Linked DNA regions of Mus musculus. The main gene of each other region encodes a partner of the protein of the gene in region 3 in a complex. Links are inferred from orthologs where the notes say so. Each region holds a gene or a part of one and is shown on either strand. Other genes may lie near its edges.

Region 1 (2,945 bases), on a different chromosome or scaffold from region 3:
AAGCAACAATGCTTTTTTTTGATGTTTTATATTCCTGGCATTGTTCCAAGTCTATTCATTTCAATCCTTTGAAACAATGGAGGTGGACGCACAACATATGAAGCTAGACTGTTGGGTTTGGGGAAGAGGTTTCTTTTTTCCATTTTCATTTGTATGCATGTTTGCCTGTGTAGGCACTTGTGTGTACATGCATATGTTAATGTTGGAAGTTGATGTTAGGAATTGTCTTTATCACTCTCCCTTCCAACTTATTCACTGAGGCAGATCTCTCAGTCCATTCCAGAACTCACTGAGAGAGTTAGTCTTCCTGCCCAGTCTGCTCTGAGGTTTCCTGTCTACATCTTCAGAGGATGGAGTTACAGGCAAGCTTCCACAGCCACCTGTCATTTACACGGGTTCAAGGAATCCACACTTGTGCCCTCAGGCTTATGCAGAAAGTGCTGTAACACTGAGCCATCTCTGCAGCACCCTATTATCTCTCTTAGATATTGAGATAGGGTTGGATAATTGATGGAACTGAGATTCAACTTGAATTCTTTGATTCAAAGCTTTATTCTTAACTGCTGTGCAATGTAAGCTAGGCTGGGCAGGAGTCAGAATGAAAGTTCCACATAAGTAAATACTTCAAAGTGGTCATCTCTTCAGACCTTAAGCTTAAACCTTTTAAAACCCTGGGAAACTTGACAATTTTCATTGTGATTTAACGGATAGTGACATTCTCAGGCAGTTGAGGTGATGTTTGTTAGCATCATTGTCCAGTACCTACAATATAATCCTTCAATTTTAATGTCACTGTTAATTGATTTTTTTGGAATTTGGTCTTTGAAGAATTTCATACAATTGAGTTTGACCATATTCACTTTCCTCCACCTCCTCCCAGATCCACCCTACTTTCTCTACACACCCAACTTTGTGTTTTCTTTTTGTTTTAGTTCTGGATTTTTGAAGATGTATTCCTTATGTATCCCTGGCTGTATTGGAATTTACTATGTGAGCCAGGCTGGCCTTTGTAAACCAGATCTGCTTGACTCTCTGCTCCTGGGTGTCTCGATTAAGGTTGTGCACCACCACACCCAGCCATATGTCCTTTATTTTTTGGCTAGTCAGAACTTTGTTGTTTGAGGCAGGGCCTCTTATATATCTCTGGCTGTCTTAGAATATGACATTTGGACCAGGCTGACTGAAACTCAGACCTACCTGCCTGCCTCATTACCGCTGGGACTCAAATGTATATGAATAACTTGATACTTGTTTATTATTTTATATAAATGTTGCAGTTGAGGTTTTTAAATTAGCTGTAAACATGGAAATGTTAATTCCTAAGTATTCAGATCCAGCTTTGGATAAGTATACCTTTATTTTTAGTGTCCTTCATTTTTCCACAGGGTATGGACAGTGGATTTGCAGGTGGAGAAGATGAAATTTACAATGTTTATGATCAAGCCTGGAGAGGTGGGAAAGATATGGCCCAGAGCATCTACAGGCCCAGTAAAAATCTGGACAAGGACATGTATGGTGATGACCTGGAAGCCAGGATAAAGACCAACAGGTACCGTGTAGACAGACAGACGGTTGGTGTTCCGTCCCGTTTACAGCAGCCAAGGAAGAGTGCTCATGACCTCTGCTCTTTTCCCCTAGATTTGTTCCTGATAAGGAGTTTTCTGGATCAGACCGCAAACAGAGAGGCCGAGAAGGACCAGTGCAGTTTGAGGAGGATCCTTTTGGTTTGGACAAGTTTTTGGAAGAAGCCAAACAGCACGGTGGTTCTAAAAGACCCTCTGATAGCAGTCGCCCCAAGGAACATGAGCATGAAGGCAAGAAGCGGAGGAAAGAGTAGAGGGACCTCTTAAAACTAAATCTGACATATGCAGCAGAGGACTGCCTGGTCTGGCCTCATTGTGAACAGATGTCCCCACCCCCTCCAGACACTTGAGACTCCAGGGAATAGGGCGTCCTAGTGGGTGGGGGTGGGGACATCCTCTTGGAAATGGGGGAGGAGGAATGGGATGAGGAATCATCAGAGAGATGACCAGGAGGGAGATAAAGACTGGACTGTTAAAAAAAAAAAAAAGATTAAAAAATCTCGATGATAGATCCCAGCACTCCTTTTCATTCTGGGATGTAGGGGCATTGATTATTCTATTTCGGAGTAGTTTTTTTATATGGAATGGGGTTATGTTTGTGCTTCTCCAATCTTGCAGCACTTAGAAATACCACTGCCCCACACAGAATTGAGATTCCTTCCTTGTGTGTGACACTAATCCAGCTGTAACCTTTTCTGTAAACGTTATGAATAACCTCACCTCAAATGGTGAGTGGGCTAATGTTCACACACTGGAGCTCTGTCAACTGCATTTGCCCTGTGTGCTTCTCCACCGCGCCATGGGGAACTAAGGTCTTGCTTAGTGCACCTCATTTCAAATAAAAACGTGTAGAAAAAGTCTCAATTCTGTTTATTTAGTGGACGGTACACTGATCATCTCAGAAATCTTTCTTCATCAGATGTTTGAGCTCCGTGCAAAGCCTTTGCTCTTTGAGCTTGAACGTGGATCTATGGGAGGGAAAGCACTGTCAGAAAAGGTAATTTTTTTTTTAAAGAAACATTAAAGGATAATATAGCTACTTACAAGTTTAGAAACTCATACCCAGTGACTCAAGTGGCTGTTGTGTTCCCGGTACTCATCTTAAGATGGTGGGACTGATAAGGTTTCAGCCCCTTTGTCTACACTGCTATTTCCACTGTTCTGTGTTACATACGTGCTGATACGCCATCAGAGGGCTTTCCACGTGGGGATGTAACTCAGGAGAGCCTGGGCTTAGCATACGCGTGCACTCTGCACTCAGTCCCTGGCACCAGAGCTGAAGAGAGGTCTTCAGGGACTTCCCTTTTCAGACTCGCACGCACGACATAACTACTCTTAAAGGGACGTGGAGCACACATCGGA
Region 2 (3,500 bases), about 63 Mb from region 3:
CTACTATATTACATTAAATTTTCAGTACCGTTATTTATAATGAGCAAGAAACTCTGGGAGGCTGGAGAAATGGCTCAGTGGTTAAGAGTATACACTGCTTTTCCGGAGGATCTGAGTTCAGTTTGGACATCAAGAAGCTCACAAACTGCCTTTAACTCCACTTTCAGGGGATCCAGCACTGTCTTCTAGCCTTAGCAGCAGAAACCCTGACACAAACACACACATAAACATAATTTCAAAAAACAATAGAATCTCTAGAAAAAGAACAAAATTCCTGCCAATTAATGAAAAAAGCTCATTTCGAGGTTAAAATGTCGTTTTAGAACAATAAAAATGTGGTTTCAGAAAAGGACTCTAAACATCTAAGTTGAAACAAAAATTTTACTTACTCTTGTGGGAGTAAAGTGATTCAGTTTAGAAAAGCTAACCTCCAAAACGTACCTATTACGTAGCCGTTATGGTACATGTGGGGAGCTGAGTGGGAAGATAGTAAATGCCGTGACAGCCTGCGCTATGGAGCCAAATTCTGTCTTAAAAATCAAATGAACCAGCAAGTAACAGGTGTCTGTTTAATATAGAAAACAATGGGGCTGAGAGATGGCACAGCGCTCTTCCAGAGGACTTGGATTCAATTCCCAGCACCCATACGGTGGCTCACAACTGTCTCTAACTTTGGTCCCAGGAGATCCAGTGCCCTTTTTGTCTCCCACAGGCACAACCCACATAACACACAGACATTTATTCAGGCAAGACACCTGTACACATAAAATTAAAATATATAAAGGTAAAAAAAAATTTTTTTTAAAGAAAAGAATATCCCATGCTGTAGCCCAAACACGATACTAGGACTCTGATGTTTCATGGAGCAAATATAAATAGCTGTTTGGGGGGAAGGCAAACAGTCAGTTTTGGGAGAATTGTTTCTTATAAAGCTATTTGCCCTGTGTTTCCTATAGGTTACCATGTTCATGTTGAAAACCCTGTATCCAAAGGGATTAGTCTAGTCACTTGAAAATGCTTGTTAAAGTGAGGAGTCATTAGGAGATGGACCTGCTTCATTTTACAACCAACTGTAGATGTATTCATCTATTGTTGGCTATTGAGATTAAGCTTTTTCAGTCTGGATCTACTGACAAGAGTTTTATATAACATCTCACATAAACATGGTTTCATCACCAGAATATATATTTTGTACCCTCAGAGTGGAGCAAACACTAAGCCAGGTGTGATGGCTCGTGCCTGTAACCCCAGTGCTTCGGTGCTGGTGACAAAAGCATTGGGAGGACAAGGTCATCCAGCCTGGGTTCACCAAAAGAGGGGCCTGAGCTGGGAGGGGAATGGGCCCGGGAAGATGGCCTGAGTTTGCTTCTCAACGCCTACAGTATGCAGCTCAAAACCACCTGTAACCCCAAGTCTAAAGGACCCGAACCCTCTGGCTTCCATAGCTACCCCTGCACACATGAGAGAGAGAGAGAGAGAGAGAGAGAGAGGAAGAGGAAGAGGAAGAGGAGGAGGAGGAGGAGGAGGAGGAGGAGGAGGGGAGGGACAACATATGGAGTCCTTCCTCCTGTTTTTAGTAGTTGGCTTACCCTTATATAATCCCAGCACTTGGGAGGCAGAGGCAGGTGAATCTCAGTGAGTTTAAAGCCAGCTTGGTCTACAGAGTGAGTACCAGGACAGCCAGAGCCATACAAAGAACCCCTGCCACACACACGCACGCATGCTGTACTGGCTAGTTTTGTGTCAACTTGACACAGCTGGAGTTATCACAGAGAAAGGAGCTTCAGTTGAGGAAATGCCTCCATGAGATCCAGCTGTAAGGCATTTTCTCAATTAGTGATCAAGGGGGAAAGGCCCCTTGTGGGTGGGACCATCCCTGGGCTGGTAGTCTTGGGTTCTATAAGAGAGCAGGCTGAGCAAGCCAGGAGAAGCAAGCCAGTAAAGAACATCCCTCCATGGCCTCTGCATCAGCTCCTGCTTCCTGACCTGCTTGAGTTCCAGTCCTGACTTCCTTGGTGATGAACAGCAGTATGGAAGTGTAAGCCGAATAAACCCTTTCCTCCCCAACTTGCTTCTTGGTCATGATGTTTGTGCAGGAATAGAAATCCTGACTAAGACACATGCATACACACACACACACACACACACACACACATTTCTATTGTATGACTATCTTTTTTTTTTTAATTCTCTAGGTTTGATCCATATGGAAAAAATAAGTTCTCCACTTGCAGAATTTGTAAAAGTTCTGTACACCAGCCAGGTTCTCATTACTGTCAAGGCTGCGCCTACAAAAAAGGTATGCGTTTTTAACTTAATTTTTTTACTTATATCAAATCTGTCTCATTTGCTATTGCTTTAAATAACAAAGGAATAACCTTTCATAAATTGTTAGTCAAATGCTCCTTTTTACTAAGATAAAATAGAATTTAAAATAAATTTATAGTCAAAAGGATATTCCTTTTTCTTTCTTATGATGTTTTGACGTTCTTAAAGACTCTGACTGTCCTTTATCTGTGTGTCTGTCTGAGTGCATGTATATGTACATGTATGTGGAGCTCACCTAGGCATTAGGCATGTGTGCTCACAAGGCACAAGAGGGCACCATGTCTTTCTTTCTTACTATACCTTTTGAGGTAGGGTGTCTCCCTGAACCTGAGATGCCTTTTTCTCAGTTGGGCTAGAAGCCAGCAAACCAAGGTTCCTCCTGTCTGCACCCCACTTGGATCTGAAATTATGGGCATTTGTGAGAGTGTGGATGCTGGACTCCAAACTCTGGTTTATATGATTACAGAGCAAGTGCACTTATCCGGGGAGCCGCCTCCCTGTCCCACTGAGTGACCTTTTAGGCGTTAGATTGACCTAAATAAACCAGGCAGTTGCACTGCTTGCTCACACACGTTTTCTTGTGTTTCAGGCATCTGTGCGATGTGTGGCAAAAAGGTTTTGGATACCAAAAACTACAAGCAGACTTCCGTGTAGATATATTGATGAAGATCCTGACTCTCTAGGATTGTACTTTGTGCTTCAACTATTCAAGGCATAGCATGAATGGACGTCCATCTTACAAAATAACCTGTGTGAAGATGAATGATTCGGCCTGAAGCAGGGAAGTTGATCAGTATTGATTTGTCTGCTCTCACAAAGTTCTGAACAGCAATGATACGCCCAGTTTTCTGCCTTAAGTGGTTGTTTTCCTTGTGAGCATTGTACTGAACTAGATAAGAGACAAAATTAATGAATAAGGTGTTCCTGACTTCTGTACGCACTGTCTACTCAACATTATCCATATGATTCTTACCTGATCCATGCATTTATTTATAGTTACTGCAAATGTGAAATTACTGATCCTTTGCTCTGAACTTGACATCCAGACCTCAGATTTCTCATTTATTCACAAATGTCACAGTTCTTAGAATGAGCAGCACCTTAGTTAAGTGCATTTTCATGAGCTATAAATTATTGCAGAGTGGTTCCTTAGTGACCAGTCCTGCCGAAAG
Region 3 (3,957 bases):
TCCATACCTTTAATGTAAAAGTGTTGACTTTCAATCAATCAATCAATCCCTGTTCTGACACTTCATTGTTTTTCTAAGTCCTGCTTTACTCTCCAATTTAACAGTTTTCCTGTAAGGTTCTACCTTTTCATGGTGTTCCAAGCTCAGCATCACTAAACTCTCAAGCTCCAGTTTTTTGGACTGTATTACTCATTCCCTATTCCCTTCTAACTATGTATGTTTTACTTTTTTCCTCTAACACATTTTCTCCAAAATAGGGTCTCAAACATGGGAAAGAAAACTAGCATCAAAACACACACACAGGGGAAAGCAGAGGTTAGTAAAAGCAGATAGCAGAGATGGAGCTGGGTGAAATAGTACCATATCAATGCCCGGTTTAAAAAAAAAAACAACAACAACAACAAAAAACAAACTGAAGTGTGTTGCCTGGTTCTGGTGGCACTGCCTTTAGTCCCGGCACTTGGGAAGCAAGGCAGGTGGATCTCTTGAGTTCTAGGCCAATCTGGTCTATACAGCAAGTTCCAGAACAACCATGGCTACAAAAAAAAAAAATCCTAGTCTGGGGATGGGGACATGTCACCAAAGTGCGGGGGGGGGGGGGGGGGAATCAAGGAAGATGCTGAATGTAAAGCAAACACCCAGATGCACTTTTGCCCCATTTCATCCTCAAGCCTAACATAAGTCCTACTCAATCTCAACAGTTAACACAAGAGGAAACTAAAAGCAAGAAAGGTAAATCTAGGAGAGACAACAAGAGTAAGAGATAAGGCTAAATCTAAGAAATGCAAAACCTTTTTTACAGCCCCCCCCCTCTAATGTTTCTGTAGTACCTTCTAACAACCACTCTTGATAGTCTTGGAAAAAGAAAAACCAATCCTTCCTCACTCTAAATCTAGGGCTTATATTGCTTTCTCACCTAACAGTCCTTCTAACCACTCATATTTTCACCATTTCACACAAAAATCCTCCCACACCCTACCTGAAGAATGAAAGCTAAGCAAAAAGTATTAGAGTCACAGTTTTGGAGAATTTTCAGAGACGAGCTAAAGGGGGAGGGGGGACTTACATACCAGCAGCCAAAAACAATGCTTGAAACACTAAAAGGGAAACCACAACTACCAAAACCAGGAAGTATTTAAAACAGGAGCCCAAAGCATGCAAGCCTCTCCAAGAACAAATTGCCGGCAAGGGAGGAAAACTTATCAGAATGCCAAAATACAAAGAGGTAGAAAATTAGCAAACTAAGATATTCAAGAAACAGCGACCGAGAGAACAGCAATGATCAAGGAAAAGGACGCTGAGTAAAAAATACAGAGAACTCAGAGCTGAGACACTACTGACTGCATAGGCACCATGAAACATACAAGCTACAGTATACATCCAGGCCTAGGCCCCACTCCCACGGAAAAAGGCAATAGTTTCCTTTTGAATCCACAATTAAGAGACATCTTAAAAGAACTGTAAGATGGAAACAGCAAGGAAGAACGTCATCACCAAGTAATGGCTGACTGAAGCCAGGCTATTAAGTCAAGAATTTTTTCCCCATCGAAAAGCTCTAAAAGGCTTAGCTTTAATATTTGAGGAGACCTTTTTAAAAACAGGGTAGGAGCCGGGTGTGGAGGCAGAGGCAGACGGATTTCTGAGTTCGAGGCCAGCCTGGTCTACAGAGTGAGTTCCAGGACAGCCAGAGAAACCCTGTCTCCGGGGAAAAAAAAAACAAAAAACAAAAACCAGGGTAGGAGCCAGACATGGTGTCTCATGCCTTTGATCCCACAGAGGCAGGCAGATTTCTTGAGTTCAATGCTAGCCTGATCTACACGGTTAGTGCCAGACCAACCAAGACTATTTAGAGGCCCTAGCTCATAAAACCAAACCGTAAAAAAGAAATAAAATAACAGGGTTGAAAGGAGCACATTGGTCTTCCTTATACACGCAGGCTGAATACTTTCGCGGTTTTATTATCCTCACTTTTTAAGACTTGGGGATCCCCCACCCCCACGCACACACTCACAGCCTCTGATACTAACGAGGACGAACGGTTTAAATCCTGGCCTCCGAAAGTTCAAGGCCTCCTCCCGCCGCCCACTGGGCAGCCCAGCTTATTTTCGGCCTCGAGGAGGGGGGAGGGGGCCACGCGGCGCCCCGCGGTCTGGGCGGCTCTGGCCGTTTCTCAGGCCCCTAGCAGGGCCCGTGGACCCACGCCGGAGCCGATCGAGGAGAGGTACCAGCAGGTCCGAAGCTCGGGCGGGGGACAAGTACCTCCGCTGCCGCCCTCTCCCCGCCCCCTAAAAGACCGAAGAGGACGACCGCGGAACGACGGCCTCCTCAGCCCCAGGTAGAGCAAAGGAGAGAAGCAGAGCCTCGCGCAATGCTGTCTCACCGGGGGCGCGCGGACGAGACCAGGCGGCCGCGCGCGCCGCGGCCGTGTGGGGGAGGGGCGGAGGAGTTGAAGGCCGCGCGTCCCAGGAACCGCGGGAGGGGGAGGGGAGGAAGGGAAGGCGACCGCGCCGGCCGAGGCGACGAGCACGCGTGCGCGCGGCGGCCTGGGCCGTTCTCCCCGCGCTCTAGCCTCCGGCCCAGCCCGCCGCCCCTCCCCCACCCGGCTAGCGCGCTCCCTTTCTCTCACCCGCCGCCGCCGCCTCCGGCCGCCGACTGTCAAACAGGGAGGTCCCGCCGCAGCTGCTGCTTAAGTTTTCGTATCCCTCGGAGCCTGAAGCCGCCGCCTCGTCGGTCCGCCCGCCTCAGCCGCCGCCGCCGCCGCCTCCTCGCTTCCTCAGGGGCCGCAGCGGGCTTCGACTGCGCCACTCGCACCCCGCCTGGGCAGCGTTGCGCGTCAGCACGACCTAGTGCGTCAGCACGCAATCATGAGAGCCGCTGGGCCCTCTGGGAACCGTAGTGCGTCGTGCGCAGGCGTTGAAGCCACAAGGAGGACCTTAGGCGAAGGGACGTGCTACTGAAAAGTCGAAAAACCCCGAGTCCCGTCGGGCACTGCGGGGAAAGGCGTGGCTCCGTACCGAAGCTGCAAGGTCGGCTGAAAAAAAACTTCTGTAGGAGGGGGGAGGGGCGCGGGGGCCGCAACCCACAACACCCGGGAGTAGCTCAGACGCACGCCTTCCGCGCACAGAGTTCTGGGAGCTGTAGTTCGGTTTTAGAGAGAAAACGCGTAAGACTCCTCCGCTAGGCAGGGTCGCCATTTTATGTGACCGTGTTGGGTGGCAGTGGCTCAGCAGCTTTACCTAGTCACTGTGACCATGGTTTTCTTTAATGTGTACGAGGCCCCACAGCACCGAGTCTTCTTCGCAGGAAGAGGTGCTTCAGAGTCAAGCCACCTGACAGCTCTGGAGCCACTTGAACCCGGCTTCTGGCCCAGTATCCGGTGCTTTCCACAGTTTCCACCTCTGTAGTCCTATCTGAAGTGGGGCTTGCAGACCACTAAAAAATACTTTCTCTTACCTTTGGGCAAAGAGACTAAGTGATTACTTTTCGCCTATAGAGACTATGCCATGTAAGTGGAGGAATGTGAGAATGCAGTTCCATTTCCTGGCCCTATAGCACGGTTCCGGGAGTTTGTCCCAGTGCCTCTCACTCGGTAGCAAGGGCCCCACCACTGAGGCACTGAAAGATCCTGGCAGAATGTAAAAGGACACAGAAGCCCTGAAATTGGCAAGATAGACGTCAGTGTTAGCAGAACTAGCTTCACTGATTTAGAAAAATAGAGGTGCACAATGCTCTGGCCACTCCTTGAACCTGTGTGTCTGCCAATGTTCTGACCAGGTGTGTGCTCATTGCTGCACCTTCATTAGACTCTCCTTGTACCCCTCCATACCCATTTCTTGAGAATAGACATTGTTTAGATCTGGAAATCCCCTAATCTCCCCCTTCTCCTTTCCCCCCTGAGGGCCTATAAAAACTGGAAACTCTTTCCCCTCGAGGACGACTCCTCTACCCCTGCGTGGG
Region 4 (2,650 bases), on a different chromosome or scaffold from region 3:
ACCGCTGGGTGGAGCAGAACCTGGGGCCAGAGTTTGTGGAGCGGATTATCTTGACTAGGGACAAGACGGTGGTCATGGGAGACCTGCTCATTGATGACAAAGACAACATTCAAGGTTGGGCCAGCCAGTTAACCTTGACAACCCCCAGGCATCTGGCCTGCTGGGATTAAGGAGGAGTAAAAATGACCCAATTACAGAGCGCACGCTGTCTTTACTGCCCAGGCCTAGAGGAGACCCCAAGCTGGGAGCACATCTTGTTCACCTGCTGCCACAATCAGCACCTGGCCCTGCCCCCCACCAGGAGACGGCTGCTTTCCTGGAGTGACAACTGGAGGGGGATCATTGAGAGCAAGCGAGCCAGCCTGTGAAGGACCCTGAGGTGGACAGGACCCTGCCTGGACAGGTGACTTTCTTTAATCAGGGAGCCACTTGAACAGACTGCTTTCCGGCTCCTCCCAGGAGGCCTACACGGGAAAGAAGGAGACTAGCACACAAATACAGTGGAGAAAATCAGGAGGTTTTTAATAAAAATAAAAACCAAACGCGAGGCTTTGGATCTTTGATGCTCCTTTTCCTTTTCAGCTCAGGATGGGAGCGGGAGCCTTCCTTCATCCAGTGGCTGTACGACAGCCCCTCTCCAGCCCTTGTAGATCTCCTTCCTCAGCTTTCGTTGTCCATCTGAGGGGGGACAATGCTGAGTGATCAGGGCCCCCATTTTCCCTAAACTCCACTTCCTGTCAGGACTGCTCTTCGCTTATCCCCTAATTCCATTTTTTCTTCTCAGTGGCAGAGGAGGGCGGGGTAACCAGTTACAGGAGCTCGTTAGACTCTATCGGACCTTTGTGGTCAGGAACTCACTAGGTGGACCAGACTCATCGCTATCCCGCTCCTGTCTCTCAAGGGATTAGATTAGAGGTTGGGCCGCCATGGTCCCCTGACATTAGTTTCTAGGTGTCTTTATGGAAGGTCTGCATCTGAGTCCTGAGGGGTTGACAGTACCTACTGGAGGCTTGTGGCTCCTGAGAGAATGGCAGGAAGCAGACTGGGATAGCCCATGAAAGGTTCATGTTCAGGGCTCCCACCCAAGTGTCAGAAGATCTGACCCATAGGCAAAGGGGGCCAGAGCAACTCTTTTGAAAAGACAGGGATGCCACACTTGGCAGCTGGCACATGAGTGGTCCACAGCCTGGTAAAACAGAAGTCACTGTCTTGCTGTCTAACCCAAGGATCCTATGTAGGGCCTCTCCAGAGAGACAAGGCATGCCCGGGTGCCCTCAGTTCTCCTTCATTCTGCTCTCACACCTGTAGGGCCTTGTTCTTCATGCCCAATGGCCATTTAGTTAACACTCATTAAGCTGTGACACCCAAGGGAAGACACTTCACCTCTGCATTCCTCTTAGGGCGCCTCGCAGAGAGCAGGGCTGTGTGGATAGTTGTTTCTGTTCTGCAGAGCTCTCCAAGTCAATGCTACCATGCCCAGATACTCAGCCTCAACACGGGAGGAGTCAACCCACGGCATTTCCCCAGACAATAAGGCTGATTGATCTCTAGCCATCAAAATTACTCTGGACACTCATGGTACTGGCCACTCTCCCAGGGGCACAGCTTCTTACACGAGGGCATTAGCTGGGCACTGGGGGCAGCAGAGGTGGTGGTCTGTCTGTAGTTTATTGATTGCCAGTCCATGAAAGCCATACCAGCTTTGGTTCTCCTCTAAGCATCTCAAGTCTGGCTTCGTCCCTCCTCCTGTTTTCCCTGGATGCAAACGCCTGTCATGCCAAGACTGCAGCTTGCATGCAGCTGAACAAGCACCACTTTGCGCAGGATGGGCTCAGGATGCTATTAGCCTTCTGCTTCCTATACCTGTGGCAGGATCTTTAAGTGTCCTTGGGTCAGGGCTGCTGTGGGGCCTCAGTCTTTGGCAGTGGGATCCCCAGGGCAGAATGGGCCTGCTGGCTGTGGGCCTCAGCCACCTGGCTCGGCGAGCAGAAGTCCTCTAGGAATATCTGGGCCAGGTTCCGGAGCCGTGTGCTGGCAGAGATGGAGAAGCGCAGCATGCACTGGACCACGGGCAGGGAGGTCAGCTCGGGATGGGAGCGGGAGCCTGGCGAGCTCAGGTACATGAGAGTGGTGACAGCAGACAGCACCGTCTCCTCGTCAGGACTGGACAGGCAGCCGATGATGAGCGGGAGGCCCCCCGCCTGCAGGACGTGCTCCTTGTTGGCCTTGTCCGCGCACAGGTTGCAGAGCCCCCCTGGAGAGAGGCAAAGGTGGATGAGCCGGGTGCCTGGGTTCTGGTTTTCCTCTGTCTCGCCTCCCAGCCTCTCTCTGGCTAGTGAGTCCTGAGGAAGCACTTGGGCCTGGGGAGAAGTCTGCCTGTGGACAGGGACTGCAAGGTCACCAAGACCCAGTCCTCTGCCAAGGCTTCAGGAGTCCACCCTGGGAGTCACCCTGACTTCTGTCCCCAGCATCAGCCCTCCCCCAAAAGGATAGTGAGAAAGAAAAAGAAACCAGAAACCTCACGACATGCTAAGTCTAAGTAAATTACAGCAAGCTCATTGGATAAAAAATACCATGTAGAGCTTAAAAATAATGTCTCCAGGCTAGATAAGTGGCTCAACAGCTAAGACAGTGTATGGCCCTGGCAGAG

The links. The genes of interacting proteins can lie anywhere in the genome.
Region 1: Srrm2 (region 3) and Snw1 share a complex: the UniProt entries of both Homo sapiens proteins name them as parts of the minor spliceosome. The link is inferred for Mus musculus from reciprocal best matches to the Homo sapiens genes SRRM2 and SNW1.
Region 2: Srrm2 (region 3) and Cript share a complex: the UniProt entries of both Homo sapiens proteins name them as parts of the minor spliceosome. The link is inferred for Mus musculus from reciprocal best matches to the Homo sapiens genes SRRM2 and CRIPT.
Region 4: Srrm2 (region 3) and Armc7 share a complex: the UniProt entries of both Homo sapiens proteins name them as parts of the minor spliceosome. The link is inferred for Mus musculus from reciprocal best matches to the Homo sapiens genes SRRM2 and ARMC7.

The regions. Positions count from the first base shown.
Region 1 is NC_000078.6:87,449,410-87,452,354, reverse strand, and holds the end of Snw1 (SNW domain-containing protein 1), read left to right. Parts: intron 1-1,385; coding exon 1,386-1,549; intron 1,550-1,638; coding exon 1,639-1,837; 3' UTR 1,838-2,445; downstream 2,446-2,945. Other genes in the region: Slirp (SRA stem-loop-interacting RNA-binding protein, mitochondrial), read right to left, coding at 2,477-2,551. UniProt on the Homo sapiens protein: Involved in pre-mRNA splicing as component of the spliceosome. As a component of the minor spliceosome, involved in the splicing of U12-type introns in pre-mRNAs.
Region 2 is NC_000083.6:87,032,061-87,035,560, forward strand, and holds part of Cript (cysteine-rich PDZ-binding protein), read left to right. Parts: intron 1-2,195; coding exon 2,196-2,299; intron 2,300-2,917; coding exon 2,918-2,982; 3' UTR 2,983-3,500. UniProt on the Homo sapiens protein: As a component of the minor spliceosome, involved in the splicing of U12-type introns in pre-mRNAs. Involved in the cytoskeletal anchoring of DLG4 in excitatory synapses.
Region 3 is NC_000083.6:23,802,068-23,806,024, reverse strand, and holds the start of Srrm2 (serine/arginine repetitive matrix protein 2), read right to left. Parts: upstream 2,801-3,957; 5' UTR 2,627-2,800; intron 2,371-2,626; exon of another isoform or gene 2,028-2,370; intron 1-2,027. UniProt on the Homo sapiens protein: Required for pre-mRNA splicing as component of the spliceosome. As a component of the minor spliceosome, involved in the splicing of U12-type introns in pre-mRNAs.
Region 4 is NC_000077.6:115,488,317-115,490,966, reverse strand, and holds the end of Armc7 (armadillo repeat-containing protein 7), read right to left. Parts: intron 2,255-2,650; coding exon 1,893-2,254; 3' UTR 501-1,892; downstream 1-500. Other genes in the region: Nt5c (5'(3')-deoxyribonucleotidase, cytosolic type), read left to right, coding at 1-114, 223-368. UniProt on the Homo sapiens protein: As a component of the minor spliceosome, involved in the splicing of U12-type introns in pre-mRNAs.